Linked DNA regions of Tribolium castaneum. The main gene of each other region encodes a partner of the protein of the gene in region 2 in a complex. Links are inferred from orthologs where the notes say so. Each region holds a gene or a part of one and is shown on either strand. Other genes may lie near its edges.

Region 1 (11,343 bases), on a different chromosome or scaffold from region 2:
AAAATAACACAGTTTTAGACCAAATTCGGCGAATTTTCGGCAAAAATTTCACAAAGTAAAGCATTTTAACCGAAATAGTAAAAGACATAAAAAAATATAACTCAAAAACGTGGCCAAACTCTCGGAAACTAAAAAAAATTTAAGCATTTGCGAACGACTTCATAAGTTTTTGGATAAAGAAGATTTTTGCTTAAAAACACCGACATTTCTCATTAAAAAATAATAATGTAATTTCAATACAATTTTAGGATCTTTCAACATATTTCTCGAAAAAACTCAGTTTAAATGGCCTAAAAAACGATAATAGTGCTATTTTCGACATAATTCGAAAATTTTTGAGTAATTTCTCTCAAATTTTCGCAAAATAATTATGCATTTCGCTGAAAACTAAGCAAGTAATTGTGATTTTTCGGCTTATTTTTGACGAAATTTCGCGAAATAATTATGTTTCTCAATAAAAAAAAAGGCACAAACGTCAAAAAAATTGTTATTTCGAAACCATATTAGCGATTTTGACTTATTTTGAACGAAAATTTATGAAATAGTTTACTTACTTACGTTTCTGAATAAAAAATGCAAAAATGATTATAAAACTTCGTTTTCAATCAAATTTAATGATTTTACGGCAGAAGATTTAGCAAAAAAGCTGTGTTTTTATCTCACAAACGCGGTAAAATTGCAAAACTTGTTGCATTTTCGAACGATATTATTATTATACTTTCAGTTTATTTTTGGCAAATTTCGCAACACAATCGAACAAATTTAGTGAACTTTTTGTTTGGTTTGTTACAATATGTATGAGAAAGAGTGAAATTGGACAAAAATTGGAAATAAACAATAAAAACCACATTTTTTCCTGTTGAAAACATACACTGTAAACAGTAAAAATTGGAACAATAAACATTACATTAAAAAATCAATCAACAATTACAAACAACCTGTAAAAGCATTATTAACCCTGCGATTAAAACCGAATCGTTAAAAGCAACTAATTTTTCACAAAATGAAATTATTTTGCGCACCCATGCTTGCAACACTAATGAATTGCTCCAACTTTTTGTTTCTTTTTTACAACACAAATTCCATTATTATTGTTATATCCGGCTGTAAATTTCACTTACTGTTAGTAATTAAATCAAAAATACCATAATTTTTGCATTATATTCTGATTTAATTGTTTTACCATTTGCCTTTATCGCTTTCTGCAAATTAACAACACAAAACAACTACTTTAAGTGAATAATTCTATGCATTTTTATTAATTATTAGTCGTTTTGCAGCTTTTCATCTAATTTAAATCAAATAAATGCTTTATTATTACATTATTAAGACACGGTTATAATTAGGCATCCAACTTTCACTTTTACCAAAAAATAACTCCCTTTGTTACGACCACAGTGAAATTTTCATTTCCATTGTCACACGTCGTTTCTCAAAGATTTTTTAAATTTTATTGCACAATTGTCTGACTCAGACCGGACATTTTAATCAGATTTGGGTGAAATTATCGAGTGCTTGAACCCAACAACAACTCAATCAACATTTCCACCCAAAACATAGAAACAATGGACTTGATTAAATTATTATTATTAAACTAAAACCTTGTAACTCCAACGGTATCTTGTGGGTAAACCGAATAAAAAATTCCCAGCCAAGAAATAACTTGATTAGTGTGTCATTGACACGATCTGGAAATTCAACTTAAAATTATCGTTAAATCGAGCACAAGCTAATTATTCGCAATTATTCTAAAACAGAACACTAGAAAATGCTTTTATAATAATTAGGTACCCATCCGATTTTGAGTGAAAGCACTGTCATTTTATTGTCTCTGATCCAACTCCAAAAAAGTATCATTACAGGAAAACCGGCAATTGTTGAAGAATTGTCGGAAAGAAGCAACAAAACGGTACTGTTGCCGTCATTTACAACGTCTATTAATTATTTCAAAAGAAGAACGAGTTATGCCGGAAAGAGGCTTTTCTCTAACGATTCCGGATTTTCCGGGAAACACATTTATTGCGCCAGTTATCGATCACTTCAAATTGTTGGCAGTGACACTGAACGCGGATAAATCACAGAATAATGCGACTCAAAGTTGAAATTTTATTGTGGAATATTGATGAAATTTGTCATAGATTTCCCTGACGTCATTTACGTGCCAGAAAAGTTATTGTTTCAAAAATTCACAAATTATGAAAAACATTACAATAGTGGAGCCGACAATTTACATATTTTATTGCAATAATAAATTAATAAATAATAATACCTCCAATTACTACTGACAATAAGCTCATTCAATACAATTGAATTGAAGTAAGATTAAAACGTATTTTCAGTAAATTAGTTAGTTTTGTATTTTTGCTGACTAATAACAGCTACGTAGAAAACCGTTATTCGGGTTAACGTCACAAAATTTCAACGCTTTTATTTAAAGCAAACGCTACACATGTGCGTCCGATGTATTTAAAAAATATGTATAAAAGCACTTTATTTCTACAAAGATAAATATCTAAATTTAACCATCTTTTGGCAACACAGGTTTACACAAACAAACGAAAACACCATAAGAATCTTCATTGTGCTAAAATTTTTTAATCTGACCAATCGTTTAAAACTCAAAACAATTATCATGTTATTGTTACAAAAAATGCGTTCAGAAGATATTCATTAAAAATATTGGAATATTAATGCAATCGAAATTATTATTTCTAAACAGATACTAAAAAAATGTTTTGTGAGAAGAATACGTAAAAAAATTGTAGCAAGCCCCAAAATTACTTTTGTTTCATATTCAAATTTTGGTTTAATTAATTACTTACGGAAGCTAGCAGCAATTATTCTAAGATTTTGGTGCAAAATAACATTTAAAAATCGTTTCTTTTAGAATGATATACGAAAAAAAAATATGCAGCAACTTATTATTAAAATAATTAATTTTGACAAGAAGAAATTGTAGAATAAATCAAAAAAAGTCATATGCACAGAAAAAATTATAAAGTATTTAATAACAAAAGCTGATGTCTGTGCGATTATTAATTTTTGAGGTATAAAAAATATATACTTTTGATATTGTAAATACTTTGTGTAATAACCAATAATTATTAAATCAAGTTGGCAATATTGTATAATACAGAAACAAAAGATATAAAAAATGACGTTTTACAAAATTCAGTATTTCTACATTTTTTATGTTGCCAACTTAATTTTATAATAACAGGCTGCTCTGATCAGGAATTCAACTGAAAGCAAAGTGGTACTTGGCTTTGAAATGAAGTTGGTGGCATTGAATAATGTAAAAGTCTAAAATATCCCTCAAAAAATGTAACTAAAGACATTAGACGCTTTATTCTCAAAAAAAAAAAAAACAGAGACTGAGGACCGGTTTATAAAAGCGTCATTAATTTAATTCGCAATTAAATGAGTGATTAAAACTGATCACGTGACTAAACTGAGCTAATGTGATTGGTCTTTTCGCGTTGTTAAGTATTAACAACGAATTAAAATTTGATGAAGCTTTCTATAAACTGGCCCTGAGTATACTAAAAATATATTTTTACGAAAACTAATAATCGCACAGAATTCAGCATTTGGTATTAAATCCTTTGTATTTTTCTCTAAACCTGTAATTTTTTTCAGATTTTTTCTAGAATTAATTACATTCAAATCGCTACAAAAAATTGCTATTTCTTGTGACAACGTTCAAATGTTGTTTCGTGTTAAAAATCATTAAAAAATTTGAAATACACGTAATTTTGGTGCTAGCAAAAATTTTTGTAAGAGTTTCTTTCTCGAAAACATCATTTCATATTTTTAATTTTATTGATATTAACATCCTTGATTAATTAATTTTAATTAGAAGAAAGGGTAAAATTTTTGAAAAAAAAAAACACAGACATAGAGAAAGAAAAATTTCTCGTAAAAGTAAACGCTTATCAAATATTTAAGCAAAAAAAACACAAAAAAAATAATTGCTGTGAAGCCTAATAAAGAAGTTCAAATTCGGTTAAATCACTAATAGTTTTTTCATATATTTTTTAAATAGAAAAAAGAATTATAATTTTATAATTATAATTTATTAAAAGAGCTTAGTTTCTTAAAATCCTTCAACTTATATAACTCATAAGATGTGTTTTCTTCACTAACGTTGCTTTATTTTAATTTAAATCTGAGGAATTTCCACATATTAATAATAATAACAGAAATATAACTTGAGAAAGTCATAGCTGGAACAACCTGTATATGATTCATGCAAAAAATTATAGACAGTTCTCTCAACAACTGGAAAAACAGTTAATTAACCGACATGCAATGTCCATCACCTGATCGGTAATTTATTTAAAACGGTTCAAAACAAAGAACAATGCAACAACAAAAAACCGACCTCATCCCAAACATTTAAAACGCAACTTATTAAACCAAACATTAATTCATTCTGTGACGGAAATTAATTAAATTTGTTGTGTGGGTGTAAAAAATCAATATCAATTAACTCCGATTTATAATTAGTACAAAATGTCTCGTCCCATCTTATTGTTTTTTTTTTCTTTCACGAAAATTGCATCTGAAACCTTTCACATAAAGCTTTATAGATTTTCCCCTTTTCAGTAGCAATAACACTGACGTTTATTTCTACAGTCCCGACAAACTTTACGATTTTCGTTTTTCTTCTGCAATGTGCACTTAGCTCTCGTGCAATTTTACATCCCCAATTCCCACCGTACGAACTTTATGCACCTGCTGTAAATTTTCATCCCTTTTACACAGCTCCCACCAGTCTGTTTCTTTCATTTTTAATAAGTCTGGCGAGGGGCAATTCCGCTAATGGTAAGACTGTTTGATATACAAAAATCGAAAATAATCAAATATTTTTTTTGCTCTGCATCAACATCTATTATTACTACGTATCGCTACGTAGAAACAATCATCTTATTTACGAAAAGTTATACATAATACAAAAAAAAAATTGTACCTAACTCGCAATTCATGCAGCACTCGCTAGGCTCGTGCCGTAAATCACCAATATCCCACCTAACATTTTGTGCAGTTAATAGTAGTTTATTTGAAGTCTCACAAAAAAGAAATTTCGAAAGATAACTTGTATTATAAAGAAGTTGTGTGCTACAAATATGTCCCCAGGTCAAAGTTTGTAATTTTATTATTTTCTAAATTAATCAATAAATGTTTCATTTAATAACTGTTGTCATAAGCAGGGGTGGCCAAAATTAAGTAATAGATCTAAATAATTTTAAAAAAACTTTAGGTACTTGTGACCCTTGAAGTCCCCACAAATTGTAGCAAATAACTGAGCATTTTTTCAGGGAAATAATCTAAACGTGGAATCGCGACTCACCTTCTTGGTTTAGCGGGGTAATGGTGGTGGTTGAAGTGGGAGCCAGTGCAAGAAAATTGGGGCACAGCAAGCCCCATCCAACGCTCTAAGGCCCCCTGCGTGCAGTCGGCGAGCACCTGCGTGAAAAAATTCAAAATAGCCACAATTTCGTGCCTTTCCAAGCGTTCCCAGCTAACGGTTTCGCACACAATGCTGTGGACGCTTGGGTGATCAAGGGGGCTCCAGGCCCGATTTGACATTTTGACAGTTGTCATCCAGCAAACAAAAGCCACCAACTGGGATACTTACAACGTGATTTTGTTGCCAAATTCGTACGATTATCACACTAGAACATTGTCAAAAGCGGTTAATTGCGAATTAACTGGTCCCGCAATAAAACAACGAAAAAAAAGCGTTTTTGTGTCGTTCACCGCGACGAATCGACCCGACACGTTATCACAATTTTTATCACTGCGAATTGGGCCTCAAACTCGAGAGAAATTCATCGTTTCATTTACTTCGCCTTATTTTACACACAATAAACAAAATTATTGTCAAATATGAGTGTGATATATTGACTGGAATTTGACACTGGCGCCACCTCAGATTTGCACGGAACTACAGAACTACCAGTAGAGGGAGCAGCGATCGCTCATTTTTTCTGTCAAAATTAACACATAACCTTACTTCATTTCCAAAAAAATAAATAGATAATGTGAAAAAAAGACACAATGGACAACATTTTTGCGAAACCTCCAGCCTCCACGAGTCAAATCATCAAAGCTGACCCCAACTACGAGTCCATGGACGAAGACGACGACTCCACTGTGGAGACAGTCAAAGTCGAGGAGACCCAGCTCACGTCTGAAATTCACATCAAAGACGAAGAAAATGTGTACCTGGAGTCGGATATAATAATGCCGGAAGCCCCTCAAAGTAGCAGCGCTCCGGCTAAGAAGAAAGAGGTGAAGACTAGGAAGGAGATGGAGGAGGAAGAGCGCGAGAAAATGCAGTAAGTTGGTGTAAAGTGGGGTTTACTGAGGGTTTGTTGTAAGGGTTCTAGTCTCGAATTTCACCGAGGATCAGCTGGATCGATATGAGATGTACAGGAGGTCGGCGTTTCCCAAAGCTGCAATTAAAAGGCTGATGCAGACGATTACAGGGTGTTCTGTTTCCCAGAATGTGGTCATTGCTATGGCTGGGATTGCCAAGGTCTTTGTTGGAGAGGTTGTGGAGGAAGGTGAGGATAATTCAAAAAAATATTTTTTTTATTTTCTCTATTACACCAAAACTATTCGAAAATGTGGAATTATTTTGGTCTAAGCCTATGTAAAATGATCCGAGGAATCGATGGGCGCCGAGAAAATCTCCAAATTCCCAATAGTTTTTTAGTTATGATTTTTTTAAGTATTAACCAGACAGCTTTCCAATGAAATTACGTCTAATAGTTTAATTTTTTTTATTTTTGTGAAGATAAGTGCCTTGACCACTAAAATTATGGTAAATTTTAGTTGACAATTGAGACCATCAGCTCGAGATTGAAAATACATTCGGAAGCTCAAATAACGTGAAAATACGTATTAACAACTTTTTTCTACAGTTGCCACTGCTTAAAGCACTCTTTAAGCTGTAAATTTATTATTATTTTTTTGATTAATTCAAAAGAAGTCGATACGAAAAAGCTTACACACCTCTTTCCGGCAGTGGTGTCACTCTAAAAAATTAGTAAAACAGTCCAAAGACTTAGAAATGTCAAACTCTTTTTTTGTGTGCAAAAAAAATCAAACATGTAAGTATTTGTGTAATTAATTATTACGCTCGATAAGACTTTCTTTATGGAATAGTGGTCTAACGAACCATTGCACTGTGGACTATGTAAAAAGTAAAAAAAATAACTATGTAAAATTACAAAAAAGTTAATTCCCTATTTTTTTTAAAATGCCCTTTTGGTTTAGCGAAGAACAGGAAAAAAACATCAATTTGAAGAGTTATAAAAAATTGTCTTGGAGCCGTGCTTTGAAATTTTAGGTCGCAGTTAAACAAAAGTTCTAAGATTATAATTTTGAAAAAAATTTTTCTTTTCTGTGCCCTACTGTTACAATAAAAAACCGATAATAAATAATAAATTCAAGACAATTGGTCGCCTCTAACAATATTTTTAAATAGCAAACAGATATGAGTAAGGAAATGGCAGTAAAAAACAATAAATCATAAACTAGAAGATTTTTCTAAAAGCTTTTTTTGTTTTTGCCCATTTGCCTATTAAGTGCCAATTTTTAAGTTTTTTTAATTTTTGAGTTAAAAGTTGCAACGTCGTAAATTAAAAAAACAAACTTAAACAAACAATGTACAATATTTCTAAATGCCCTTCGTTTTCAGATCAATGATGAATCTATTTTTTTTGATAAAGTCTCAATTGACATATTTTTAAATACAGTACTACTAGAAAAATCATTCTTTGTCACTGTACAATCACATTTTTGCTCACTAATACTCATTTACGTAATTAAAAAATAACTAGGAGCATTGCCGATTTTATAACTCAAGTCGGAGGCAAAATCTATACGTTAAAGATATGAAAATGACATAATAATTATTCCCAATTGTTATCTATCTATCCTGTTACTTTTCACGTTTATTCTATTTAAAGTAATGAAGCCTTTTGCGTTACATTCTGTCAGTAAGGTTTCGTTATATCACGGAATTTATTCCGTTTTTTGCAATTTTCTTAAGATTTGAGTATTACTTAAGACTTGTATTAGGTAAATTTAATTAAACTTGCACAAATTCAGATTTTTATTCCTGTTTAATTTGATGCTTAACAATGTAAAATAAATAATAATTTAATTCGGATTAGTTTAATTTTTTATTACCAAAATTTCATTCACTTTCTGCAATGAAGTCTTACGACTTCTTATTAAATAAATGACACCCACTTTTGTTGTAATTAGTGAGTTTTAAACCACTTTGTTATTACTGTTACGAATAACTAACACAAAACTTACAATTGTTTTTTTAACGGATCCAAGACCACTTTTCAATTGTCGTTACGTGACATCAACTCTGAAATGTATTCTAATAACGAAAAAATGCACACAATTGTTTTAATTAATTAGATCATTCATACGTCCGGGGTATCTTATCTTCTTGTAAATATTAATAGTTCTAGTGCTCTAATTGAGTAAAGAAATTAGTAGACATTTTCGAACTTACTCAATGATTTAAGAAAAGTTTGACATCGGTTTTTATGTTTCTTTTTTTGTCTACATATTCCAGATAATTTCATTTAGATACAGTGAAACCTCTAATATTGAATAATTTGAGAGTAAAAATTTTTTAACAGTTTTAACTTTAATTCTAAAAATTCATGTCGCAAAGCATTTTAATATTGTCATTAATAATTGTAAATATTTGTAAAAAAGGCAAACAAAATCTATTTTTGGAGATGCATTAGTACCTACCTTCCCTGCCAAGCCTGGAAAAATCTGTAAAAAATGTTGATGCACCGTTGCAGTGATATCGTCACGCTGGAATATTTATTTAAAGATTGTTGAAAGGAAATTTTAAGTCACTATTTACAAACAAAATTGATAGTTTTGAACTTATGACCGCCAGAAGCTCAATCATTTGGATAATCATTTCCGTCATAAAAACCTCACCAAATTAAAACCAGATGACTCGTCCCGACCTTGCATTCGTAACCAAACCCTCATTTTCCAGCTTTGGACGTAATGGAAGAACAATCGGAGTCGGGCCCTTTGCAGCCCAAGCACCTGCGGGAAGCCGTCCGGAGGATGCGCCTCCAGGGGGCCATCCCCAGCGGAAGAGACTACAGGTCACACTTCCGCCTCTAGACTTACGCTTTGAATTATTTTTAGACGTAATAAACCTTTTTCTATTTTAATGTTGCTTTACTTACGAACAAGCCCCGCATTATCGGCCGGGAGTGGGAAGCAGAGGCCAACGACTCTCTTATCACGGAGGGACGCGTCTTAGTCGCTTCCCAGCTTCCCTCGAGCAAAATGCTGATTAGAGTCATAGTGGTGTTTGTTTTAGGTAAGTGTGCACACGTTATTTTCAATTCTGCAAACGATCATTTAGGGTTGGAGCTGTGCACCGCCTGTGATATGGACCAGACGAAGCAAGGGTGCCGCATACAGAACAAGGCCTGTTCTTGCGGGTTTGGGTGCATTTCTGAGTACCGTTACGACACGATGGCCGAGTGCCAGAACGCCCTCCGGGGCAAACGCAGGGACATTTGCAACCCCAACCCCTGCCTGCATGGGGGCTCCTGCATCCAGATTTCGCAAAGGCCCAAGTACAAGTGCAGGTGTGAGGGCACGGGATATTTCGGGCTGCGGTGCAGCAGAGGTATATGAACAACAAACAATCCCTGTTTGCAGTCATGAAAATTTCAGTTTTTATTTAGACTCTTGGTATTATCGAGTGATAACCTTTGACACGACAACTCAAACTTGCTCAATGATTTTCCTAGTTCGATAAATATTGTTTGTGTTTTTCTAGCATGTCCTACGCCAGGGGTGGGCCCCACTGATGCCGTGTTCCCCTACGAATGCATAGAAATATGACGACCGCCACCAGTGCCCTGTTCGTGCCTTTGTATTTTTTTATTAAATAAAATGCGTTTTTTAATGGTGTTATTATTTCCTCCGAAAATTACAGAAACCAACAAATAAGCAAAACATTTTATGTTCTTAAATGAGTGCAAAATGTAGGGCATATTACAGGAGAATTGTTTAGAACCCGAACGAGCGCACTGAGCAAGTGAGCAATTTTCGAGCCATTATACATGAATATATTATCTACGACTGCATCATTGAATTACTTTAGTTTAATATTTGTTATCAAAGAAAGATTTGTTTTATCCAAAATAAATCAAAACGTCAATAAAAATGTTTTGTGCGTAAGAGCTGATTTTGGTCGAGAATGTATACAAAAAAACTGTGAAAATAATAAACTGCTAAGTAAAATAATCGAAATTCTAAGTAATAAACTAATAAATAAATAATAGCACAGCCATTCCATGATTACGGACGGGACATAATTATCATCTCTTACTATCAAAATAGCTTGTCTTAAAAAATAGTAGTGATTAAAGTGATGATTTTAATTTAAACATACGCCAATGATTAACAATTAAATACATGCAGATAATTTTCCCAAAATTTTTATAAATATTTGATTACGGACGGGACACGAATGCGCCTAGTAAAAATTGAGTCTAAAAAAAGGAAAAAAAAACCTGAATACTCTCGAAACAACAAAAAGATGTTAGATCTATTTAAACATATGAGAAATATTGTGAATAATTTTTTCATGAAACCAGGTAATAACGCGGAAGTGTAATATAAAAATAAAAAATAGTGAGATTACGGACGGGACTCAAAAATTATGCCGAGTAACAATTTTATTATAACTTACAACGCGAAAATTTTAACAAAAAAAAAGAAACAACTTACAATTATCAAAAACAACACCGTTTTTGTGATAATATTTTGTCGTAACTTTGGAAAAATATTCGTCACTACTTAGAAACATATCTTCCAATTAGAAAGCTCTTGATTTTGCGCATGCATAAAATTCTTTAGCATTATTAATTAAGTATAATTTTTTCTGAACAAACCTCGTTTCAAACTAGTCTTTTTCTGTACGCAAATGCTAAAAGAGCAAAAAAAGATTCCATTTGTTTATTAGAAAACTAAATTTTGGAATAATTGAAAATTTGAAATTTATGCGAAAGTTGTCAATTACCGTGGAATTGCTAAGCAATTACCATTTTCACCTCTGGTGTTATTTACCCAGCGTTTACGAACTGTACTACGAGTACTTAGCGTTTAATGAAATAACTTGGCGTTCAATTTTTTTCCCAAATAAAAAAAGGAAAAAAAATCTGAATACTCTCGAAACAACAAAAAGATGTTAGATCTATTTAAACATAACAGAAATATTGTGAATAATTTTTTCATGAAACCAGGTAATAACGCGGAAGT
Region 2 (10,363 bases):
TTAGTTTAATCCAATAACCGTTATTATTTAGGGTACGAACGTAAACTTAGGCGAAGCATTGCAATTCCTGCGTGAATACGACAGCGAGGCCTCCAGAATATGTCACCGCGTCAGTTCCGCCCGATGGACGTACTCAACCAACATGACCGACTTCAACAAACGCAAAATGATCGAAGAGCAAACCCTCCAAGCCAAATTCAACAAACTCTCCTGGAAGCGCACAATGACTTTCGACTGGACTCGCCTCCCGGACCAGATGGTCAGGCGCCAGCTGAAATTCCTGATAACCAACAGCCGCGCGAGCCTAACCGACGAGAAATACAACGAGATTTACCACCTCATCTCCGAAATGAAGGACATTTACAGCCACATCAGGATATGCCCGTTCAACAGCCAGGAGAGCCTCTTCTGCGACCTGGAGCTGGAGCCGGACGTGGTCCGGATCGTGGGCAATTCGCGCAACCACATGGAGCTGGCCCATGTGTGGCGGGAGTGGCACGACAAGGTGGGCCCCCCGATGAAGAATAAGTTTATGAGATATGTGCAAATCGCCAACCAGGCCGCGAGGATGAACGGGTTTCTGGACGCGGGAGAGGAGATGAGATATGTGTATGAGGAGCAGAATTTCGAGATTGAAATTGCGCAGACTTGGGCGAGTCTGCAGCCGCTGTACCGGGAATTGTTCACTTATGTGAGGAGAAAACTTTTGCAATTTTATGGGCCCTTTGTGGTCCGGCCCGAGGGGCCGCTGCCTGCACATCTTTTGGGGAATGTTTGGGCGCAGGACTGGAGCAAGATTGTGGACTTGGTGGCGCCGTATCCCGAGTTTAAGACTATTGATGTGACTGATGAAATGCTGAGACAGGGATTTACCCCACTTAGGTAAAAATGATTATGTTTAAATTAAAAAAACTGACTTTTGGTTCCCAATCAAAGCGCAACACTTTTATTAACACCATGTGATCATTTAAATTTATAATTAGCGTCAGAGACGCATTAACCAAGAAGCTAATAAAGCTGGCGTTTTAAGCGCCGAAATTTTTTTTAGTAGCAAATTGTTTGGGCGTTTTTATGAAATACTCAAATTGAAGCACAAAAAATTACGGGACTTTGATTTTTTTTAAATACAGTTTAAGATATAATTTTTGCACTATTTTTATCTCCTATTATTGAGAATTGAATGCTCCATCTGCCTGTATTTTTTATTCGCCTTGCGCTAATCGTTATTTAATTACAACTATTTTTATAAATTTATTGCTTATAAAAGACGGTAGACGGTAATGGAGCAACTGCGCCTTTGGCGACATTACCGGAACTATCGAGGATGGGGACGTTTTATTTGTGTGTCGTATCCTAAGTTTTAGATATCCGTAGTTTTAACATTTTTATTGTTGGTTATTTCAAGTTATTGTAAGATAGGAATTAATATAAAACCGCGGTAAAAAGCCAGTTGTTTGTAGATAAAATGGATTTAAAAAAATATCGGAAGAGTATCGTCAAGTGCAGCACATAAGAAGCGTTAATAGAGTCAAAAATAAAGCCATGGCAGCTGCTTTAGTGCAATTTCATACATAATGCTGAATATCAAAAAGGCTCAGGCCTTCGGTTACCGATGTGACCATCGATATTCGAAAGGGAGTTTTCTCTGAGAGAGGTGTTATAATGTTTCACGATAAGACTTCCCTTAATTTCGCGTTATGGGTTCATTTGTTTTTAATGATAAATTGCCCTGTGATGCCGCTTTAAAAATTATAGACGAAGATGGCAAGAACGAAGACTTTTATCTAGTATTCCCGAGTATGGCGTGTATTTTGAATCACTATCTGAACTTAAAGTGAGAAAACATTTCTATTTTATTTTTTTATTTTATTTGTAGCAATCGATTAACACTCGAAAAGAACACAAGAAAAGAAAGAAGAGAAATTATTCATATTCATTATTATAATTTTCTTCGATTAATAAAAACTGTGTATTATGGGTTTAGTTGATTTTTTAACATAAACAGGTCATAATTATCACACAATCCTTTGAAATTCATCAGAGCTTCCTAAGCTGATGGCAAAATTTAACTTTTTAAATATGTCTTAATAATAATAGTAATAATAAATAATAATAATAATACAGGATAGCCCACCAAAAACGACAGGTTATCTGGTATTTATACTAATATATTAAAAAAATACTCGGACAGGTTAATTTCTATTTTAAGAGGACATCTTTTAACGTCAAATAGCGAATTTTAACTTCAAAAAAGGGGGTAGATTTGATAAAAAAAATGGTGGTGCCGTATAGTTTTGCTTTTTTAAACACCTTCGAAAACAAGGTCAAAATGCTTAAAAAGTGTTGTGTGTTGAAGGGACTAATACAGGCTGTCTCAAAATTGACGCCTGTGCTTTGGGAATTTGATTCAGGGAGCTAACACAAATGAAAGTTAAGAGTAAAAAATTTTCCAATTGTCCTTCGTTATCGAGTTATTGATAAAAATGTAAATAATAATAAGGTTTATGCTGTCTTTCCAATTATTTGTGCAACATAATTCATTAGTTTATGTTAACGATGTTAAAATTCTTTGAATCGCTCTGTCTAGTGACAAGTATTATTAATTTTCTTCGGTTTTGTGTGTTTAAAACATGGAGGTAAGATAAAGAAGACACAGCATCACATCACTTATACTGCAGCGTGTTAATCGATTAACGATTGGCGAGGGGTACGCGGGGGGGCAGTGTTTACCTCCATTGTAAGCGATATTAACAAGGCAGTGGCACATATTTAAATAGCAGTCAGGGGTTCATAGGCTGTATTAGGGGAAAACATTGTAAAGACGCTCTTTAACAAAGATCGATAATGGTAACAAAATAAACAATTACCTAACAAACTGTAGATTATGCCACTTTTGAAAAAAACGATTCATTTGTCTAATTGAACATCCCTTTAGAAAATTAATTGTCACGCCACTGACCACAGGTGGAATGTTAGATTCACACATATGCCATATTGGCCGCCATGACTGATCCAGCTAGGTCAAATTTGAGCTCAATTAAAATGCTAAGTTACCTGTTTTTGCATTTTTCATATTTTTTTAAATAAAAGAATTACGAATTTTATGCGTTACTTTAATCTCACTCTGTATATCAATTATATATGGCAGTAATATACCAACAAGTAAACAAAAGGATACAATACTACTGCATTACAACATTCGAGATTTTTCGATATGTTAAAAGCTCGGTTATAAATTAGGTGTGTGCACATGCGGAAAAAATTCCAAATCGCATATTAAAGCACGGGCGTCAATTTTGAGACAGCCTGTATTGGAATGTAGTATTAGCGGGTGTTTGAAAGTTTTAATTAACAAAACCGTTTTCAGAATGTTTCAGATGGCCGAAGAGTTCTACACATCTCTCGGCCTCAAGCCCATGCCCCCTGAATTTTGGCGTTTCTCAATGTTCGAAAAACCAAACGACCGCAAAGTACAATGCACGGCAAGTGCGTGGGACTTTTGTAACCAAATTGATTACAGAATAAAACAATGTACTGAAGTAAACATGGACGATCTAATTTCAACACACCACGAAATGGCCCACATTCAGTACTACCTGCACTACAGCGAACAGCCCTATCTGTACCGAGACGGGGCCAACCCTGGCTTCCACGAAGGAGTCTCGAACGCAATCTCTCTATCAGTCTTCAACCCGGTGCACTTGCACCGAGTCGGCTTATTCAACGAAAACACCGACAGTTACGAAACCAACATCAACTTTTTGATGCTGATGGCTTTGAAAAAAGTCGCGTTTGCCCCGTTTGCGTATTTAGTGGACGCAGTAAGTGCCAATTTTCCCTTTCACAGTTAAATAATTAAAAAAATAATTGTTCCAGTGGCGTTATGAAATTTTTCAAAACGGGGTGCAAAACATGAACGCAGTTTGGTGGGAATTGCGCCTGCGCTACCAGGGATTAATCCCCCCAATCCCTCGCACTGAAAACCACTTCGACGCCGCTGCAAAACGCCACATTCCCGCCGATATTCCGTACATGAAATATTACGTCGCGCTTTTGCTCGAATTCCAAATTCACAGCTCGATGTGTTTTGCTTCAGGGCATGTGGGGCCGTTGCATAATTGCGATATTTACCGGTCGAGGGAAGCCGGACGCGTTTTATCGTAATGACTGTTCAATACTTGTAATAAAAATTAATTAGATATTTTTAGGGACTTGCTAAAAGTCGGGAAGGCCAGACATTGGAAAGAAGTGATAAAAATGTTAACTAGAGGACAGTCGGATCGCCTGTCTGCTGAAGCAATGCTTCAGTACTTCCAGCCCTTGATGTTGTGGCTCAAAGTACAAAATCGGAATGAAAGTGTGGTCGGATGGATGACAAGTTTGGAAGAGGAGGCTTTGTTCCAGCCATTCTTGTTTGCAACAAGCAACAAAATTGTGTTTGATTCAAATCTTGTTATATTCATTTCTATAACTCCGATTCTTATAAATAACTACATGTTGTATAAATAAAAAATTTAAACTTATAATTTAGTCTTACTTATGACACCTCCATTTCGTCCTTTTTAGGCAGCTTCGTTGCGGCCAAATACGGATTATCAATGTACCCATTTGGGTTTGTGTTTTCTTCACTTTTTGTGGAATCATTTAGTGTTTCTTCAGTCTCTTCTTCTTCTTTATTTTCAGCTTTTTCTTTCGCTTTTTGTTCTTTTGATTGTTGCATCATTTGACTTTTGTGGTCATATTCGAGGTCTTCAGGATCAAAAATTTGATCCTGGGGCAGGAGAGCGCTCAAGTAAGGGGGGTACGCAGGCTTACAAGCTATCACTAAAATATTTCAATTGCTATAGTGGGTATAAAACAAAAACGTAGTCAAGAGTGCTCTGCAACCAATTTTTTCCAGAGCACTATTGACCACCACTCACGAAATAAAAATTCCAAATAAAAAACGGACCACTTACGTGGAAAAATATTCGCCTCATCTGTGTCAAACAAATTATGTGTGGGGTTAGTCTTGGCAAGAAACTTCGTTAACGCCTTTTCTATGTCTTTTTTCTGAACTGCCGCTTTTTCTCTCACTGATTCGTAATCAATAATTGGTTGTTTGTGTGTCTGTAATAGAACAATAAAATATTTGACGCGCCCCAACAGCACAAACCTACAGGAGTGCGAACGTAGGCGTGGGGGTCCGGAAACTGGGGTAAATGCTGAGGGATGTAAGGGGGTAAAGGGTGCTTCGAGCCAGCTGGTAACATATTTAGCTGCTTCTGGGGCTGCTGTGGTTGTAGTGGGGGTAAAACCGAATGCTTCATGCCTTTTGTGTACACCATCAAGTCGTTGAAATTGTGCCCCATTTCCACAAATGCTAAAATCACGTCGGCCACCACGGGCTCCGAACGGCCCGACAACTCGCAGTAGCTTTTCGAAAGTGCCCCCACTTCGGTTAGGACTGCAAGAAAGTGTGCTTATTTCGCGAAAAAAGGGTTGAGGGGCTTACAGCACTGGATCATTTCTGTTAAAGTACCGAGGCTTTCTTTGTCGGCCGTATCGAAACCAGACTCCATTAGAATGCTGCAGACTGACGCTGCTAACATTTTTCGGTAAACGTTTACTTGCTGGGTGGTGGTTTGTTCCATTTTTTAAAGTTTAAAGCAAAGTTTGTTGTTATTTACGTTCCGAAAAGTTAAGGTTATAATAACGTTTGACAAATGACAAGCTTGTGTTTCTGACCGAATCACCAAAGAGCCGAAATTTAAACATCCATACGCGGGAATTCCAAAAATTTCCAACGTGTGGTTGGAAAACAGGGTAGTAGCGGTTGGAGAGAAATGAAAAAAGGCGACATTTATAAGTAAATATAATTAATATAAATATCTTACATTAAAATACATAACCTAGTTCTATGAGTTGCAGTTTAGCGCTGCAGAGAACTAGCCTACCAAACACATTATTTATTAATACATCCTTTCCTTTGAGAACTATGTTCAGCTTACATAAAAACATTTTGTAATAGGCTAGAGAGACATTTAATTTAATGTTGAGCGATGCAATTATGTGAAGAAATTTCTTTACATTTTATACAAACTCTTACTCTAATTTATTCACTGTAACTGAACCAGACTTCAAGTCGGGAAACTGAAATTGAGTTAGAAAAATAAATAAATAGAAACCACTGAACATTTAATGAACAAAATAGTTATCCTAAATAAATAATTAAATAAAAAAATACACAATTATCAAAAATACAAATTAATACAAATTGAGAAACCAACTAAAAATCACATTCTTGTTTAAGTCAATTCATTAAGTGATGCGCAAATCCAAGACTTTAATTGCATTCAAATAATTACAATTTCCGAACGATAAAAAGCTGAAGTATACATTTTTAAAGTCAATATCACACACTGGAAATACCTGTACTGTTTTTCTGAAAAAATTAGTTTGTATTCACACCTCATCGCAATTTAAACACTGTTTTCCGGGGGCCGCATTCTTCGATGGTAAGGTCTTTTGGGATAAAGTAGTCCTCAACTATTTGAAATACTCAGCTCGTTCCACCGAGCTTCGAAAAACTGGCGCATGCAGTGGCCTGCCTTTCCCACAGGACTGTCGTCCTCGTTGAACACTTCGCAGTTGTTGAAAATCTGTCTCACGTCCAGAACGAACTCCTCTTTGGATTTATAACTAGAAAAACGCCCAAATAACTCACACCATCAATTTTCAAGTCAAAACACCAACCTCACATCGTACAGTTTCTTCTTGATCGTCGACAAATCCATCGGCGTTTTGATGATTTTTTTGTAAGTGGGAAACTGCTTCGTATTCACCGGAAGCAAAAAGGGCCACGCGTCATCATGGCACTCCAAATCCTCCAGAATCGTCTTGCACGGCGCGAGTTCTTTGAGTAGTTTCTTCGAGATGCGGTCCTTCTTGCACGTTTGCGTGGACGGAGAGCCTGCGTTGCCGAGACTCGAGTTAGAGACGTCGCTTTGGTTGCAATTCGTTGCTTCTTCGTTCGTCGTAACGGAACTATGAGACGGTGCGGGACTGGAGACGCGACATGTTAATAAATAAAAAACGAAAAATTGAGAGGTACCTAGAAGGAGGATGGTCGGACAGTTCGCTATCTTTGCTAGACTTTGCGTGGTTTTTACGCATCGTCTTCTTCTGAGGCTTTTTCGATATGCATTTGGAACAGTACCATTTGCCGCGAGGAACTTTGTGCATGATGGGGTGAATGCAGTCGGTGTGGTAGGCGCGAGGACACAGTTCGCATAAAATCAGCCGAGTGCCAGACGTCGACGATTTCTTGCCGCAAACGATGCAATTGCGCTCGCCTGTCGCCTTGTTCATGCATTCGTGGCAATACCTACACAAATTAATTTTTCGTTCATTTACTTATTAAAAAAATATGCCTCTTCTAGTACCTACTCTATAATCGACTAGCAAATAGTCTCTTCAATAAAAATGGCCTTGTATATTTCGAATGTATGTGTGCGTGTCTTTTATAATCGCGAAGATTTCGGTAAAGTGTTAACATTTACGTTACACTTAAATAATGAGCTCAAAATATATGTAGACCTCAAAAATTCACCCCCCTGTATACGTGTATTAACTCTATCCAAAAAAGTTCAAAGGAACGCACCAAAAATCAATACATTAGGAAAACTTCGTTATTTATTTGCAGCAGTTAATTACATGAATGGATTATTTTTTGTTACAGACGAGTTATGACGTTATGAGCATTCTTATCAATTACTGATGTGCCGTTTGATTTCATTCAGTTTGTCACTTGCTGTAGTCGTGAACACACACCTCATAAACTTATTAAATAAAATAAAAGTTAGAGTTTTGCTGGTTACGATTTTCAAAATATAGAACTATCATCAGTGATCAGTGCGTGTTATGAATTTTCGCCGTTCAGTAGTGCGCGAGTGTTTACTGTTTAGTGTGTGCCAGTGGAATATATTTCTGGAGAAAAATTGTGTTTGGAGGATCAGGATTAAAATGTTAGTCGGCAATAGTTTTCTTTAGAATAATTTCTAGTCAGTATTTTGACAGAGGTTGAGCATGATTTCAAATCTTTGCTGTAGCGTATTTAACTGTGAATATTCTTCGAAAAATGAAGATGATACATAAAACGATTTTCATTTTAGAATTGAGCGCACAAAATGCGTTTTATCAACTTTAAAACGGTTCAAATTAGTGAAAGAAAGCATGGGAGAGACTGAATGAAACAGAATTTGAGTGATCTTTTATCAATTAAATGTACACTTTTAGGCAAATAAAACTATAGTCGAATAGAAATACCATGAAATAAAACTGAAACGAAAATTTTCTCGGGTAAAGTCCACATCCTGAACGAAAATGAAAATTAACAATTGGGAGTGATTTTTATGAAAAATAAATAACTTTAAAAATTATTAAAAATTATAGCGCTGCAACACTTATGTGAGTTTATTAAAATTACTTAAAAAGTGTAAGAACGAACTAAATCCTCCTAGAAAAAAATTTGATAGCGTATTTCCAACTGTACCAGACACTAGAAAAATTTAAAAGCAAATGTTTTTCAATTTTGTTAATGTAGTAACACAAATTGTAATAATAATAATAAAAAAGAAAAATTCTTTAATGACGTCTTTTAGGGCCTGAACCGTCAGACATAGTTACAGTGTCGCGGATTTTTTTGTAAAAAAATTAATTCTCTAATTTTTTTCTTTAATATGTAGTGTTGATTTTTAAGTGCAGTTTTCATAGCGTTTTAAGAAAAACGGCACATTTTTAAGATTTTTTTTATTGATTTTGTTCTATATCGAAAACTTCTGACCAAACATTATTATAGATATTGTTAAAAATATAATTCTCGAGGTGAAAGCAATTTTATTAACTCAATTGTTCCTTTTGGAGCTGCCTAACAATTCTAATGAAACTGATGGTAACCACCGTTTTTTGTGTGTTATCCCTTATCATTTTTTTTTAACAGAAACAAGTATTTTAGATACCCGCTTCAATAAAAAAAACCGTAATGTCTGAATCTGAAGAACACGTTGCGATATGTAGTTAGAATAACTAACAATAAATAATAATAACTAGATAATTCGTTTCTTAGAAAGAAAATAGTTTGAGGCAATAACCACTTAGTTCCTTATTTTTTGATCAATTAGTTAAATATTTTATTTAATTGGAAACCGTAACAAAAAATATTAACAACTGGGGCAATAAAATAGCTAAGTACGTACCAGTCACCTTCAGGAATATTTTCCATCTTGGGTTTAAAACAATACGTGTGATAGCCCTTATCGCAACCATCACACAACAGGAGCTTATCTTCGTTGTCTCCACTGTGGCAGAACTGGCAGTTCTGTAAAAAACCTTACACTTCAAACACTTGACTCGCCCCTCATTTTATTAGTGAAAAGAAAATTAGGTGCAGACAGCCATTAAAATTAGTCAAAAAATCGAGCTGTTGCTAGTAATTAAATAAAATTAAATTTGACTGTATTTAAATTAAGAAAATATGTGGTGAAAAATGAAACTAAATCTAAATCATCATGCAATTGATTCTCATGCAGTTAGTGTGTACCGACTTTTCACCACACATTGGGCAAACTAAAAAACTAGAAAAAGCACAAGCACCCACACTGAGCTTGCTGTTATATTTGCGGGCTCTCATTTTATTAAAGACATGAGAAGAGCTCACAGCTTTCATGATACTCTTGTCCCAAGCGATGGACGATTCAAGTGAATATAGACACATGGCCAACTGTGCCGACGTCTGAGCCCTATTCACAGCCTCTCTCCACACGGCCAATCCTTTCGGAATCTCATTCGGATCCGGGGCTTGTTGTGCGGTAGCGGTGGACGTTGATTCCTGTCCAGGGGTCGAAGTTTGCTCCCCCACGTTGGCAATATTGATACACGTAGGCCTGGCACAAAAAATTGTAGCACAAACGTAGCGAGTGGCGCAAATTGTACTCACTTCACTCCCAAGGGAGGTTTGAGGTAGCGACGTTCGATGTTCACCTCCAGCGATGACAAACGCTCACGCACTAGAGGCACAACTTCGTTGGGCGGAATCTCGGGCGTGTCCCTGTTGGGGATCTTCCAACCCTTGATTTGCATGCTCGCACTGGCCACCTTGTCCTCAAGCGCCTCAACCTAATTTTTACAATTATTAACAATTATTATAAAAAAAGGCTGGCAAATGTTTAATTAATTAATGACCCGGTATTAAAGCGATTAAGTACCTGTTCCAGCAGGAATAAGTCGACTCGATGGGCTATCGACTGGCTCCAAGCCCCCGGTTCGTCTGGATGTGGGGCCCCTCCGTCCATAAACTTGACACTTTCGATCCCTTCCAATGCCA
Region 3 (11,557 bases), on a different chromosome or scaffold from region 2:
ACATATCCAAATGCAACATTTGACTGGCCTTTATGAAAAAATTCGAAGTGTTAATACGCCCGAAGAAATCGCGAAATGGATCGAAGAACGAAAAGTTCGATACCCGAGCAGGGAAAATGTCCAAAAGAGGTACGAAAGACGGGAGGAGATGTTGAAAAGGGGGGAGAAAATTGGGGAGAGGAAAAATCGATTCGGGAAGGATAAGACAAGACGTAAGTTTTTGTTTGTGTTTGAGTCATTTATTTAAATTTTTTGTTACAGTGTCACGAGTCAGGCACAAAAAACAACAGCGGAAAAATGTGCCGAAAGTTGTCAAAAATCCCGAACAAGCGAAGCAATCTTTAATTGATGAAAAATGTGACTGGAATGGGACAATGTTTCCGTTTCGAGGCACCAAGGAATTATATAACGAAGAGGATGAGAAGGAAACGAGTGATTACGATGATGAGGAATGGATGGATGGTTCGGGAAAAGTCACTGTTGAATTAAATAATGCATTGGGAGCACTAATGGGTGCGTATGAGTCGGACCAAGAAGAAGAAACGCCTCAGACTGTCGATAATGACGCTCCAACTGAAGAAAAAATACAAAGAGAACAAGTAGAATATCCAAATGAACAAGCGAGTGATACTAAAGTCGTCAAAACAAACAAGCGGAGAAGATTATCTAGTGGTAAGAAACAAAAACTAAATAACAAACCTGAACCGGGTGGCTTTTCGCGAATGAAATTCGTTAAACGTAAGGTAACTCTGTTGGAAAAGTTGTTAGATAGTGAAATAAGGCACGAGCGCAATGTCTTACTACAATGTGTACAGCATGTCGTCACTAATAATTTCTTCAGATAAAACTGTGATCATTTTTACGCAATATATTTTTGTAAAGTATGTGTTATGTCTTACCTCCCGAACAAAAAAACCTCGTAAAAACAAAACTTTATTTACATTTTCTTATTGTACTGTCTTAATACTTATAAAAATACAAATGACTGCTTAAACGGCTGTTCCATAATTAGGCTAGTGGTCCGTTTGACAATAGTTGAATGGCCCTGGAACGTAAAAATTGCAGTTATTGCGCCGCAATAACAAAAGTTAATGATGCATATGTCAGGCGTAATGAAGGATGTAAACATACCGATGGCTAAATTTAGAGCAGTGCCTGCCAAACGTGATCTATATCGTGCCAGTGATTAAAATAGGTCAGGAATACTTACAGATTTTACTGCAAAAGTCCGGCATAAAGCACCCAAAGTGCTATCAATAGAGCAATAAGGATCAAGTAGGTTGTCAGGAGGTTTCCGGTTTCGTTTGCGTTTGGCATGATACTGAAACAGACGGATTAATTGTTGCCAATTGCAATTAGAACATTTCGTTTCGGTGTAATTCAATTCCATGGAAGAATGTGAGCGAGTGCCAATATATTTTAATAAGCGAATAATTTGGAGACGTTGGAAAATCAAAATTTATGATAAATGCCGGCTATTTTTAACCACCACTTCAATAACAAATGGGGGTACCCATATATGTAACACCCACACCCAAGTTTAACGTCTTAAGACCTGGAATTTTTTCCTTAATCCTGTCATAACTATTTTAAAAATTGATTAGTAACATAAATAATTTCATGTTTATTGGATGGTTTCCAGAATCGATGTATTCAATGCTCTCAATTCATTTCGTATTTTCCGAAAACACTTATTTTTAACACAGGTATGCAGTATGTTAACTTAGCCGGACATGTTTATGATTTTATTTGTGCAAATTATGCAAAGCCCCACCGGCCAAAGCTTCAAGTGCACCATATTTCACACAAATTGTGAAATTTTATTTTTTTTTCCAGTTTAATAACTAGTTTAGGAAGCAACTTTTAATTGCGATGTTATAATTAAGAGCGTAAAAATATCTTACTTAGTGTTGCAGCAGCGATCGGGAATCAAATATCACTCAGATGCTTCTAACGTTGTCGCTTAAGATGCTCTGCTTTCCAGGACCTGGCTGAACGCTGCACAGCTTTCAGCTAATGACGTATTATAGGGGGTGGGGTTTACTCCATCATCCCAACCGTAAACAGTTTCCAGATATTTTCAAGTGTTGTTTTTGGGTTTGCTTATGCTCGAGTCATTTTTAGCACACGTAATGCGAATTTTTGAGGTACCTTTTTCAAATAGTTCATTCGAAAAATAGGTACGTAAACAAGTTCACTGCCACACCACTGGCATTGTTCGCTCGATGATATTTTTACAAAATATGTGTTTACTTTGATTTCGCTTGTTAGGCTTGAGGTAGGTTAGCTGGATTTTTTGGGCATTTCGGGCCCTGCCGTAGTTCCACATACGGTGTCTTATTAATTTTAATTATAACGAAAAGGGAGAAATATTCGGAAAAAATTACATGTATAGAAAAAAAGTAATTAATACTTTTGAAATAGTATATTTGTAAATAATACTTTTAGCAGACTCACCCTGTACATTGGCTTAATGAATAATTTCATATCCTTTGCCTAATTTTTAGGTAACGTTATTCACAAATAAATTAATTTCAAACGCAACAAAACAAGCTACAAACATGTACATTAATTCAAATAAAAGTTAAAACAAGCACCTTAACATTTATTTTGTTTTTTAACAACCAGTCAAAGCGTAAAAATTTGTAACGATATTAATTTTCTATCACAACAAATTTGTTTCGAAAATAAATCCTTGTTTATATTATTCTTGATTGGACGCCAAAAATACGTCTGTTCAACCAAAGTAATTACTTCGACGTACAAGACCATTACTTTTTTCTTTTCAAGTATTGAATAACCGACTTTATCGGTGTGAATATTAATTATAAAAATGTTTGATTCGTCATAGAGAAATTATGAATGTTTTTGGCAAAAGTCCTGGCAAACATTTTTAATGTTGTTGACACTGTTTATTTTCAACTCGGAATTCTATTTTAACATTTTAGTGTTATTTCAAGCGATTCATAAACCAAACCCCAAAAAAATCGTTAAAAAATTTATTTCTTATCAAGGTAAATAATACACATTACAATAAACTAAGTGCTAACACCATCAAACATGCTAACAGCCAATAGCAAATTCCTCCTCGTAAAGTGAAGGCTGATCAATGGCGAGCTCTTCGTCGCAAAACTCCTCAATAAATAATCATCCCCGATCCTCACATCGGGATTATGCGACACATTTACTTCCTCCGAGCTGATTTCCTCAGTCAGTTTGGTAAAATCCCAAACTTTGAGCAAACAGTCCAACCCTCCTGAAACTAGAATATTCCCGCATCTGCTGAAAGCAAGTGCATGGATGGGCTTCTCATGCCCGGTGAGTTCTGCAACCAAGTGTCCATGGGACAAGTCCCAAACCAACACTTTACAATCCACCCCCGCGGAAGCCAAAAACCGCCCACAAACACTGAACGCCAAAGACATTATGGGCGATTTATGCCCAGTCATAAGTCGGACATGATTTCCCGTCGTACAATCCCACAAACAGACGCGGCGGTCGCTGGAACCGGTCGCAACGTAATTGGAATTTGGGTGAAACTGGACGCACTACAATTAATAATTTCTGTAAAAAAATATTAAAAAAAAATTGATAATTTTTACATCGACGTCGGAGAAATGACCGGCAAATAATCGCAACGGTTGGTAATGGTCGGTGGCCCAAAGTCGCGCAGTGCGGTCGTACGACGCCGAAGCGAAGTAATAGCCCAAGGGAGAGAATTTGACGTCCCAAACGGGGAACATGTGTCCTTTGTAGACCACCAGACAAGTCCATATTTGCAACGACCATAATCTTATTGTTGTGTCTTCCGAACAACTGATAAGGAGAGTCTTGTCTGGGGAAAATGATACCGAGTAAACAGGCCCTGAATGGCCGTAAAGCGATCTGGAAGTCTCACCGGACCTTTCATCCATCATTCTCACCTGCATGTTGAAAACATGTAAGTTTTTGGAACCTGGCCAAGATGACAGATAAGTTGCTATCTTGGCAGATTTCTTTAAGTACACTGTTTAAATGAATAAAAATGATACACCTTCCAGTCATTTATTTTGCGATTTTAAACATGTTGACGGTTTCCACACGGCAACGACCTATTTTTATCGCTATTTATTCAAGTAGTCGATTAATTTAAGTCGGTGTCTACTTTATCGACTTGATGGGGGCGAAAACTAAAATCTCAACTTAACTTTGAATATATTTAATGTTGTATTAAAAAAATGAGTGATTACTTTTGTAGTAATAATAAAAGTCTTTTCTGAACAAAAAATTGTAATCGAAATTACTGATTTAGTTTTACTTATCGTTTAATTTTGATTGATTATATATTTTTTCATGTACTTTATCGATTTCATTATTAAAAAAAAATGTAACATTACCACGACATCCTCTACGTCAACATTGACATCCTCCAGCTGCTCCCCACTTTTCATAGCCTTCAGTTTTTGAGGCACAAGTGTCCAGACTTTAACAATTGAATCGCTGAAACCCACCGCCAGCATACTCGAATCTTCGGTGATTTCAGCACAATTAACCCTAAAAAACCCCCGATAAAGAAAATATTTTCACTGAATAAACTCAACTAACGTGTGATTGGCGTTAAGTAAGGTGTAACAACAAACTGAAGGGAGGTAATCCGGGCCTAACGTAACTCTCTTTGAGGCCTCTCTGTACGCCTTCACTTTTTCGTACTTATCGTGGTCTCTCATGTCCGGGACTGGAATTCTATCAGGCGGTGGAGCGTTTGGGTCATTTTTTGTTTTTTTCGAGAAAAGTGGGTCTTTTTTGGCTTTTTTCTTCTTAGGTTTGTCCGGATTGTCCTGTTCGCCGCCTTCGTCCTCGTCTTCGACTGGCGCTGCTAGTGCCTGAATGTCGGGGGCTTTGGGGATGCCGTAATAGACTTTGGTTTTATTATCTGGAATTTTGATGTGTTTATTGTAATTATGATAACGAAAATGAACCTTGTCGTTTTGCCTCTCCCCCAACGGCACCTGACGTGGCATCAATCTGGCTTTTGTTCCTCGCTACGCCTTCGTACATATCAAAGTAGAGATGTTCCTGGATGATGTTCAGCAAAACTGACGCTTTTTTGTCGTTTAAGTGACGTTTTAAAAGTGACAAAGTGTCACGCGACATTCGAATAATAAACTGGTTTGATTTGAAGGTGTCTGTCAATTCGTTCCCGTTCATATGGTCCCGTTTTGTGACCAAAGCCAACTTCCTGAGATCCTCCTGATAGTACGAGTCTTGTTCGGGGCCAAATTTTTTCATTAAGTTTATCGCTTTCTCCGTATGTCCATTATAAACCAATTCGAGGTACATGTGGACCAAAACTGGGTATAAAATCATGCCTAATTCGTGTTTGTAAATGTCAAGGGAGCCCTCAACAAAACGCTTTAACTCCATGTAAGAGTCCTCATAGGTTTCTGGATCTCCGTCACTCTTGTACCCCGTCAGAACGCTACTAACGTCTGAATTTTGTTGCAAAGGGCCATCAGCTATGTTATTACCGAGATTGGCCTCCTTTCGTAGCAGCTCCTCAGTGCCCTAATGAAAAATGTTACGTTGTGCTTACTCGCCATAAGCTCACCTTTAAATTGTATTTTTTCAAAATTTGCAGAACGGCTGCAAGTTGAGATTTTTCCATTTCTTCGGCGCTCATTTATAAACTCGTAAAATAATAAATACAACACAAACTGACGTTTCCCTAACCACACTTTAATGCAAATGACAACAATCAATAACGCAAAATTTCCCTAAAGCCTGCCATTCAACGTCGATTTATAAAAAATCTAGGCTTATTTCGCAACAATCCGATTTTCTCTTCATTCAGAGAGCGCAGTATGAGAGTTGTAACTCCTGGCTATATTTTTTAAAACTCTGAGAGTCGTTTTTGGACAATTTTTAATTGGTTGAATTGTGTTGGCACCATTTTTTTCTTAACCGCCACCCGCCATATTTCCAGCGCCATTAAAAGGATCTTTTCGGCGGTGTTTTGTGGTGGCTTTTTAAGAGCCAGAGTTGAAAGTAAGTAAATAACGGCTCCAATCGCATTATTATCCACTACCTTAACTAGTCAGCATTTTAGTAACGAAGTTGAATGCAAGCAATACTTATTGTTCCAGAAGTACGCAGTCAGCATCGCTTTACCGGTTATTCGCAAACAAAACTGCAGAAATGGGCAAAAAGAAGGTAGAAGACAGCGAGAGCGAGGAGGAATATTCAGTTGAGAAAATTATCGACCGGCGGGTCGTAAACGGAAAGGTCGAATATTTTCTCAAGTGGAAAGGTTATAGCGAAGACGATAATACTTGGGAACCCGAAGACAATCTCGATTGTCCCGATCTCATAGCGGAATTTGAAAAGTCGCGCAAAGCCAAGGCGAAGAGGTCTTCCACCACGAAAAGTGCGGACGAGGATAGTGACAAAAAAAAGGTGGGTTTATTGGATAAGCCAAGCAAAAACCAGCCCACTTCGACCCGAAATCTATTTAATTGTGTATCCCTAGAAAGAGAAAAAATCCAAGGACGGTGAAGAGAAGTCTGAAAAGAAATCAAAAGGCAGGCCCAAGAAGCATGCGGTTGAAACGGAGGACTCCGACGGCGAGCCCAAGTCGAAGAAAGCTCGCCGTCGTTCAGATTCCACGGACGAGAAAGAGAATTCAAAAAAAGACGCAGATTCCGACGACGAAAATGGTAAAAACAAGTCTGACTCATCTGACGACGAGGATAAGTCCAAGAAAAAGAAGAAATCAGAAGGCGATGACGACGAAAAATCCAAGAAAAAGCGAAAGTCTGAGTCGAAATCTGAAAAGGGGAAGGATAGTTCATCCAAGAGTAAATCAAAAGTCGGCTTTGAACGGGGCTACCAAGCCGAGAAAATCATAGGAGCATCAGACACCACAGGACAGCTGATGTTTCTGATGAAGTGGAAGGGAACCGACGAGACCGATTTAGTCCCAGCTAAGGAAGCAAACGTCAAGTGTCCACAAATTGTTATTCAGTTTTATGAGGAACGTCTCGCTTGGCATACTCCCGATGAGTCTTAAGTTGTTTCGTCATGAAAATCCTTTATTTTGGTAGGATTCCAGTTAATTTTTTCCGTAATAGTTTTCTATCGCCTGCAGTGTTTTATATTAAGATATTGTTCATTTTTCATGTTTCTTTTTTTGTAATAAACCGTGAAAATATTCACACCATTGGTTATTGAAAGAAACAGTCATGTTATACTGCCATACAGGTATTTTTGCAAATACGACACTGTAAAAAATTATAATTTTTATAAATAAACCTACAATTGAAATAAATTAAGAATGGGACAGTGTTTGTTCCGCTTGTGGTGAAGTCACGTTCATAATACTCTGGAGTATTTCCGTCAATTTTCGCGAAGTTTGGTTGAATTTTTCCGGTTTATTTTGCCACTTGACGCATAAATAATACACAGGGATGCCTAAAAATGTGTTATTTTTGTCAAAATTCCGTAATTAAGTACCTGACAGCGTGATGGCCACTCCAATGACTGTGTTCCACGGCTGCGAGGGTATGGGGAATATCACAAGAAACGCGCAACAGAACAAAAATATTATTGGGATACTCATGTTCACTCTAATCGGCCTTGGCATATCGGGTTGCTTGTATCTCAGCCATAACATTCCCGCAATGCTTGCCGCCACAGAAAACCATAATATTTGTCCGTAGTAATTTATCAGAACGAAGACATCACTGACTAGAAGCATTGCTAAAGAGGTTACACACTAAAAATAGGGCATTAAAAATTGCTAAACTTTGGGGGATCATTACTGTGAATATCAGTGAGGGTATGGGGGTCATGCGTTTAACGTGAATGAAGGAGAATAAGTCGGGGAGATGTCCTTCTTGAGATCCTGTGAGGAACAGCCGCGAAGAGGTGAACAGAATTCCGTTAACTCCGCCAAAAGTGGACAAAGCGACGAAGATTGGAACTAGCCAGTGGAAAGAACCGAACATTTTGAGGCCGAAGGAGACCGCAACAGCCGGCGAACTTTCAATTTCCATTCCTGATAACACGGCGAAATAGGCGACGTTCGCAAGGACGTACACGCCGGTCACCATGGGAAGGGCGATCCATATGGCACGAGGGAGGTTCCTGAAAATGTGTAAGTCAGGGGCAATAAAATCCACCATTATTCTACTAAAGACTCAGTTTATGATTGGGGACTGAAAGCATTTTTATCGATCATTAACCGCACGTGGCTTTAATCGAAAAATAAAATTGATGTTTCAATAAATAGAAATTGGGAAAAAATTACACGTTGCTTAATAACTTCTAAGCTGACGATCAGAAAAGTGATAAAACCCATCAACTTGTGTTATCAAATTCAAGGCTGCGTGTATTTTCTAATTTTGTAATTTACTCTCACTTACATAACAAGTTAGGCATTAAAAAAAGAAAAGTGAAAAACTCGTATTCAGTTCGGAGATATTTGACTTCGAAATTTACATTTAAATTCGCAGCGAACAGCGCCTTGATGGTAAATTCTCGCACATAATTGCATTCTTTTAATATTTCGAGAAGTGGAGCGCACAAGACGCATCCTCTCGTCCTAGATTTAAGTAGCTCAATCAGGTTAAAATCACGTTCGATTTATAGCGGACGTTTGAGTGAGAAGAACTACAATAAAATACTTTTAACGGTGGCGAGAAAATACAATGTTTAATTCAAGAATCCCTTCATCCATTTAAAGATCACGTCACTGGTTTTTTCCTTCCTTAAGCAGTCTTAGACAATTACGCCCGAATTCAGCCTTTTGAATCGAATTAACCGAGTTTGTTAATCAGATTCGTCTCATTTCCCATCATCCATCAAAGTCGTATTGTGCGATCCGGTGATTGAATTATTTCGCTTGAATGTATTAAATGAGTCGCATACTCACTTGTACGGATCTTGGAGTTCTTCCGTTACAAAATTGAGGAAATTCCAGCCTCCGAAAGCGAACAATCCGGAGTAGAATCCGAGTGCGAGTTGGGAAATTTCGTAATTTCCCTCAAACGCATTTTCGAAATTCTCAGTGTGACCTGCAAAATTTCAGTCGGCGAGGTCAAGTGCGACTCAACTCAAGAAATTAAATATTTGATCGCATAAATGCACTGTCGGGACAAACAGAATTAATTTGTTAACTCAGGGCGAGTCCAGTGAAATGTTAGAGTTGCTCGGACGAATGATTATGCAGTGAGCAAGTTTGCGAAATGAAAATTCGATTTAAGTGTGTCAAGATGTAAAAAGCATCAGGTGAAGGGAATTCATGTTTGTGGTCACGCACAGGCAGTAGCGACTTTATTGTTAATCTCTACTTACCATTAATTGCTACATCGTAAAGTCCTGTGAGAATGATCACAATCAGGGCTAATAGCTTAGCTGCGGTGAAGACGCTTTGTATTCGCATAGCCCATCTGACGCTCAGGCAATTAACTGCCGTCAGAAGACCTGAAATTGAAAACAATGGCTCTTATCAGCGATTTGTCGGGATTGTGTCTCAGAAATAATAAAAATTTGTTTCTCTAAGCAATGTTTAATGTCAGAACTTTCTCACCGAAAAACTATTTGTTTGTGTTATCCACAAAAATAATTTCTTAAAAACATCACTTTAACATTGAGAAAATTAAACTGTTAAATAATATCGAAAACAATTATTTTTGCTCTAAACTACAGATAGCGCATTTAAAAACTGCAAGTGTGTGAACTGCTATAATGGTTTCTCAACAATGTAACGTAAAATGTGATACAACTAATAATACATTGGGAACTTGCATAATAAAGTAAACATTAGAACGTTCAAGGTTATATTTTTTCATAAAAGAGTGGCACAGCCTGACAACTTTTATGCTTTTGTGAAAAGGTGATAGGTGGGATATAATGGTACTGGTGCACTTTACTTGAAAAAAAACTAATGAAAAAATTTACATGCATAGAGAAAAAAATCAAAAATTTAATAGCAAATGCTGATTTCTGTGTGACTAATTAAATTGCATTTTTTAATAATAGTCTAAAACTATACGTTTAGAAAATTTTTAAATATTCTTGTAAGACAACTAAAATTAGAACTTCAGAAACAAACAAAAAATGAATAAAACAATAGGCAAGTAGGTATAACTTTAATAATCGATACAACAATAAAACGGCGGCAAATAAATAAATATGTGGACTGATAGAGTAATTTATTTAATTATTTATACCTTCCAGCTAGACAGTGAAATGAATAATGAATGTGCTTTCCAATGTGCAAATAATTTAAATAAAAAAGTACGGATCTATGTTGCTATTGTTAAATTTGAACGCATCACCTCAATTGTGACGCTGTTGCATCATACTTTCTTCGAGGGAAATGTGGGCGCCCGACGTCACGCAAATCCATATCCCTCGTTTTTACGCTATTTCATCAGCAAATTAATCATTTTCAAGTAAAAAAACCAATATTTTATCATAATTTGGGCGGCTGAACCCGTTAGTATCACCCTTTCCCGAAAGAGGTCACTCCTAGATTCAAAAATTCAAAACCGGACTTACACAAACAGGCCGCCGCCAAAAACCTGACGGCGTTTTCCGGAGGCTGGCAGTCGTCGAAGAAGGGCTTGGCGGCGTACTGTGCGAAGGTGAGGGCCACAATGGCCTGGGTGGTGGGCCGGATAATCAGTAGAGCGATCCAGAGGCGCAAGAACGCGGCCAAAGGCCCGAACGCGACGTAGATGTAGGCATAGTCGCCCCCGGACCTGGTGATGGAGGTGCCCAACTCGGCGTAGCAGAGGGCGCCCAAGGTGGAGAAGATCCCCGAGAGGCACCACACGATGATGGAGACGCCCACCGACCTGGTGCTCAGGTAGACGCCGGTGGGGGAGACGAAGATGCCGCTGCCGATGATGGTGCCGATAATGAGCGCGACTCCATTCAACAATGTGATTTTCCGCTTGAGTTTGACGGCGCCGTCGGCGTCGCCGACGTCTCCGTTGGGGCGCGAGCCGGAGGTCATGGTGCTGGGGCTAGTGGCGGGGCATTTTGGGGGTTGGGACCATGTCGGGAACACGTGGTCGATTCACTACTCAACGCGGTTTGGGATTCAATGCGTGGTTTACGTTTACGTTTATAGTATTTGTTGGCGCGTTACGAGGGACTTGCGCAAAGAGCGGCAGGTATTGGGTCATGCAAGCGGAGGCATGGGCGGAGGTAGCGATGGGACAGCGGGATTTATTCAATAATTTGTATCACCTGTTTGATTAATTGGTGCACGTTCTATCAAGTCACAAGGCTTGGACATTTTTTATCCAATTAGCCTTCAGTTTTTTGAACCAAAAGCCTAAAGCTTACATAAATAGATGTTAAAAAATCGTTAAATTAATTACGGTATTTCAGATATTTATGAGGAGTTTAAAATGTTTTTGATACAAAACTCACTCAGATTAACTTAATTTACAGAAAGTGTCATTTTTTCAATAATTAAATTTACTGCAATTCTGAAATGTGAGGGAATGTTTCTGCAACTATAAGAACATTAGGCTGTCAGCCTTGTTTAATATCATTGGAAACTGGG

The links. Proteins that work in one complex are often made in the same cells at the same time.
Region 1: transcription initiation factor TFIID subunit 8 (region 2) and Taf11 share a complex: the UniProt entries of both Homo sapiens proteins name them as parts of the TFIID basal transcription factor complex. The link is inferred for Tribolium castaneum from reciprocal best matches to the Homo sapiens genes TAF8 and TAF11.
Region 3: transcription initiation factor TFIID subunit 8 (region 2) and Taf5 share a complex: the UniProt entries of both Homo sapiens proteins name them as parts of the TFIID basal transcription factor complex. The link is inferred for Tribolium castaneum from reciprocal best matches to the Homo sapiens genes TAF8 and TAF5.

Annotation. Positions count from the first base shown.
Region 1 is NC_087394.1:5,380,916-5,392,258, reverse strand, and holds Taf11 (transcription initiation factor TFIID subunit 11), read left to right. Parts: upstream 1-5,635; 5' UTR 5,636-6,063; coding exon 6,064-6,344; intron 6,345-6,387; coding exon 6,388-6,572; intron 6,573-9,052; coding exon 9,053-9,186; 3' UTR 9,187-9,236; downstream 9,237-11,343. Other genes in the region: protein crumbs, read left to right, coding at 9,355-9,388, 9,434-9,703, 9,857-9,921. UniProt on the Homo sapiens protein: The TFIID basal transcription factor complex plays a major role in the initiation of RNA polymerase II (Pol II)-dependent transcription.
Region 2 is NC_087396.1:13,176,955-13,187,317, reverse strand, and holds transcription initiation factor TFIID subunit 8, read right to left. Parts: upstream 5,729-10,363; 5' UTR 5,634-5,728; coding exon 5,495-5,633; intron 5,447-5,494; coding exon 5,160-5,446; intron 5,110-5,159; coding exon 4,959-5,109; intron 4,825-4,958; coding exon 4,538-4,824; 3' UTR 4,510-4,537; downstream 1-4,509. Other genes in the region: angiotensin-converting enzyme, read left to right, coding at 32-882, 3,368-3,821, 3,877-4,160, 4,209-4,509; tou (bromodomain adjacent to zinc finger domain protein 2B), read right to left, coding at 6,525-6,681, 6,736-7,044, 7,094-7,366, 9,237-9,358, 9,638-9,923, 9,977-10,155, 10,245-10,363. UniProt on the Homo sapiens protein: The TFIID basal transcription factor complex plays a major role in the initiation of RNA polymerase II (Pol II)-dependent transcription.
Region 3 is NC_087398.1:2,402,757-2,414,313, reverse strand, and holds Taf5 (cannonball), read right to left. Parts: upstream 5,709-11,557; 5' UTR 5,645-5,708; coding exon 5,588-5,644; intron 5,545-5,587; coding exon 4,959-5,544; intron 4,913-4,958; coding exon 4,585-4,912; intron 4,534-4,584; coding exon 4,377-4,533; intron 3,924-4,376; coding exon 3,603-3,923; intron 3,549-3,602; coding exon 3,039-3,548; 3' UTR 2,986-3,038; downstream 1-2,985. Other genes in the region: FMR1-interacting protein NUFIP1, read left to right, coding at 1-212, 262-845; heterochromatin protein 1, read left to right, coding at 6,175-6,432, 6,506-7,045; JhI-21 (large neutral amino acids transporter small subunit 2), read right to left, coding at 7,304-7,446, 7,489-7,750, 7,797-8,121, 8,909-9,050, 9,331-9,459, 10,540-10,999. UniProt on the Homo sapiens protein: The TFIID basal transcription factor complex plays a major role in the initiation of RNA polymerase II (Pol II)-dependent transcription.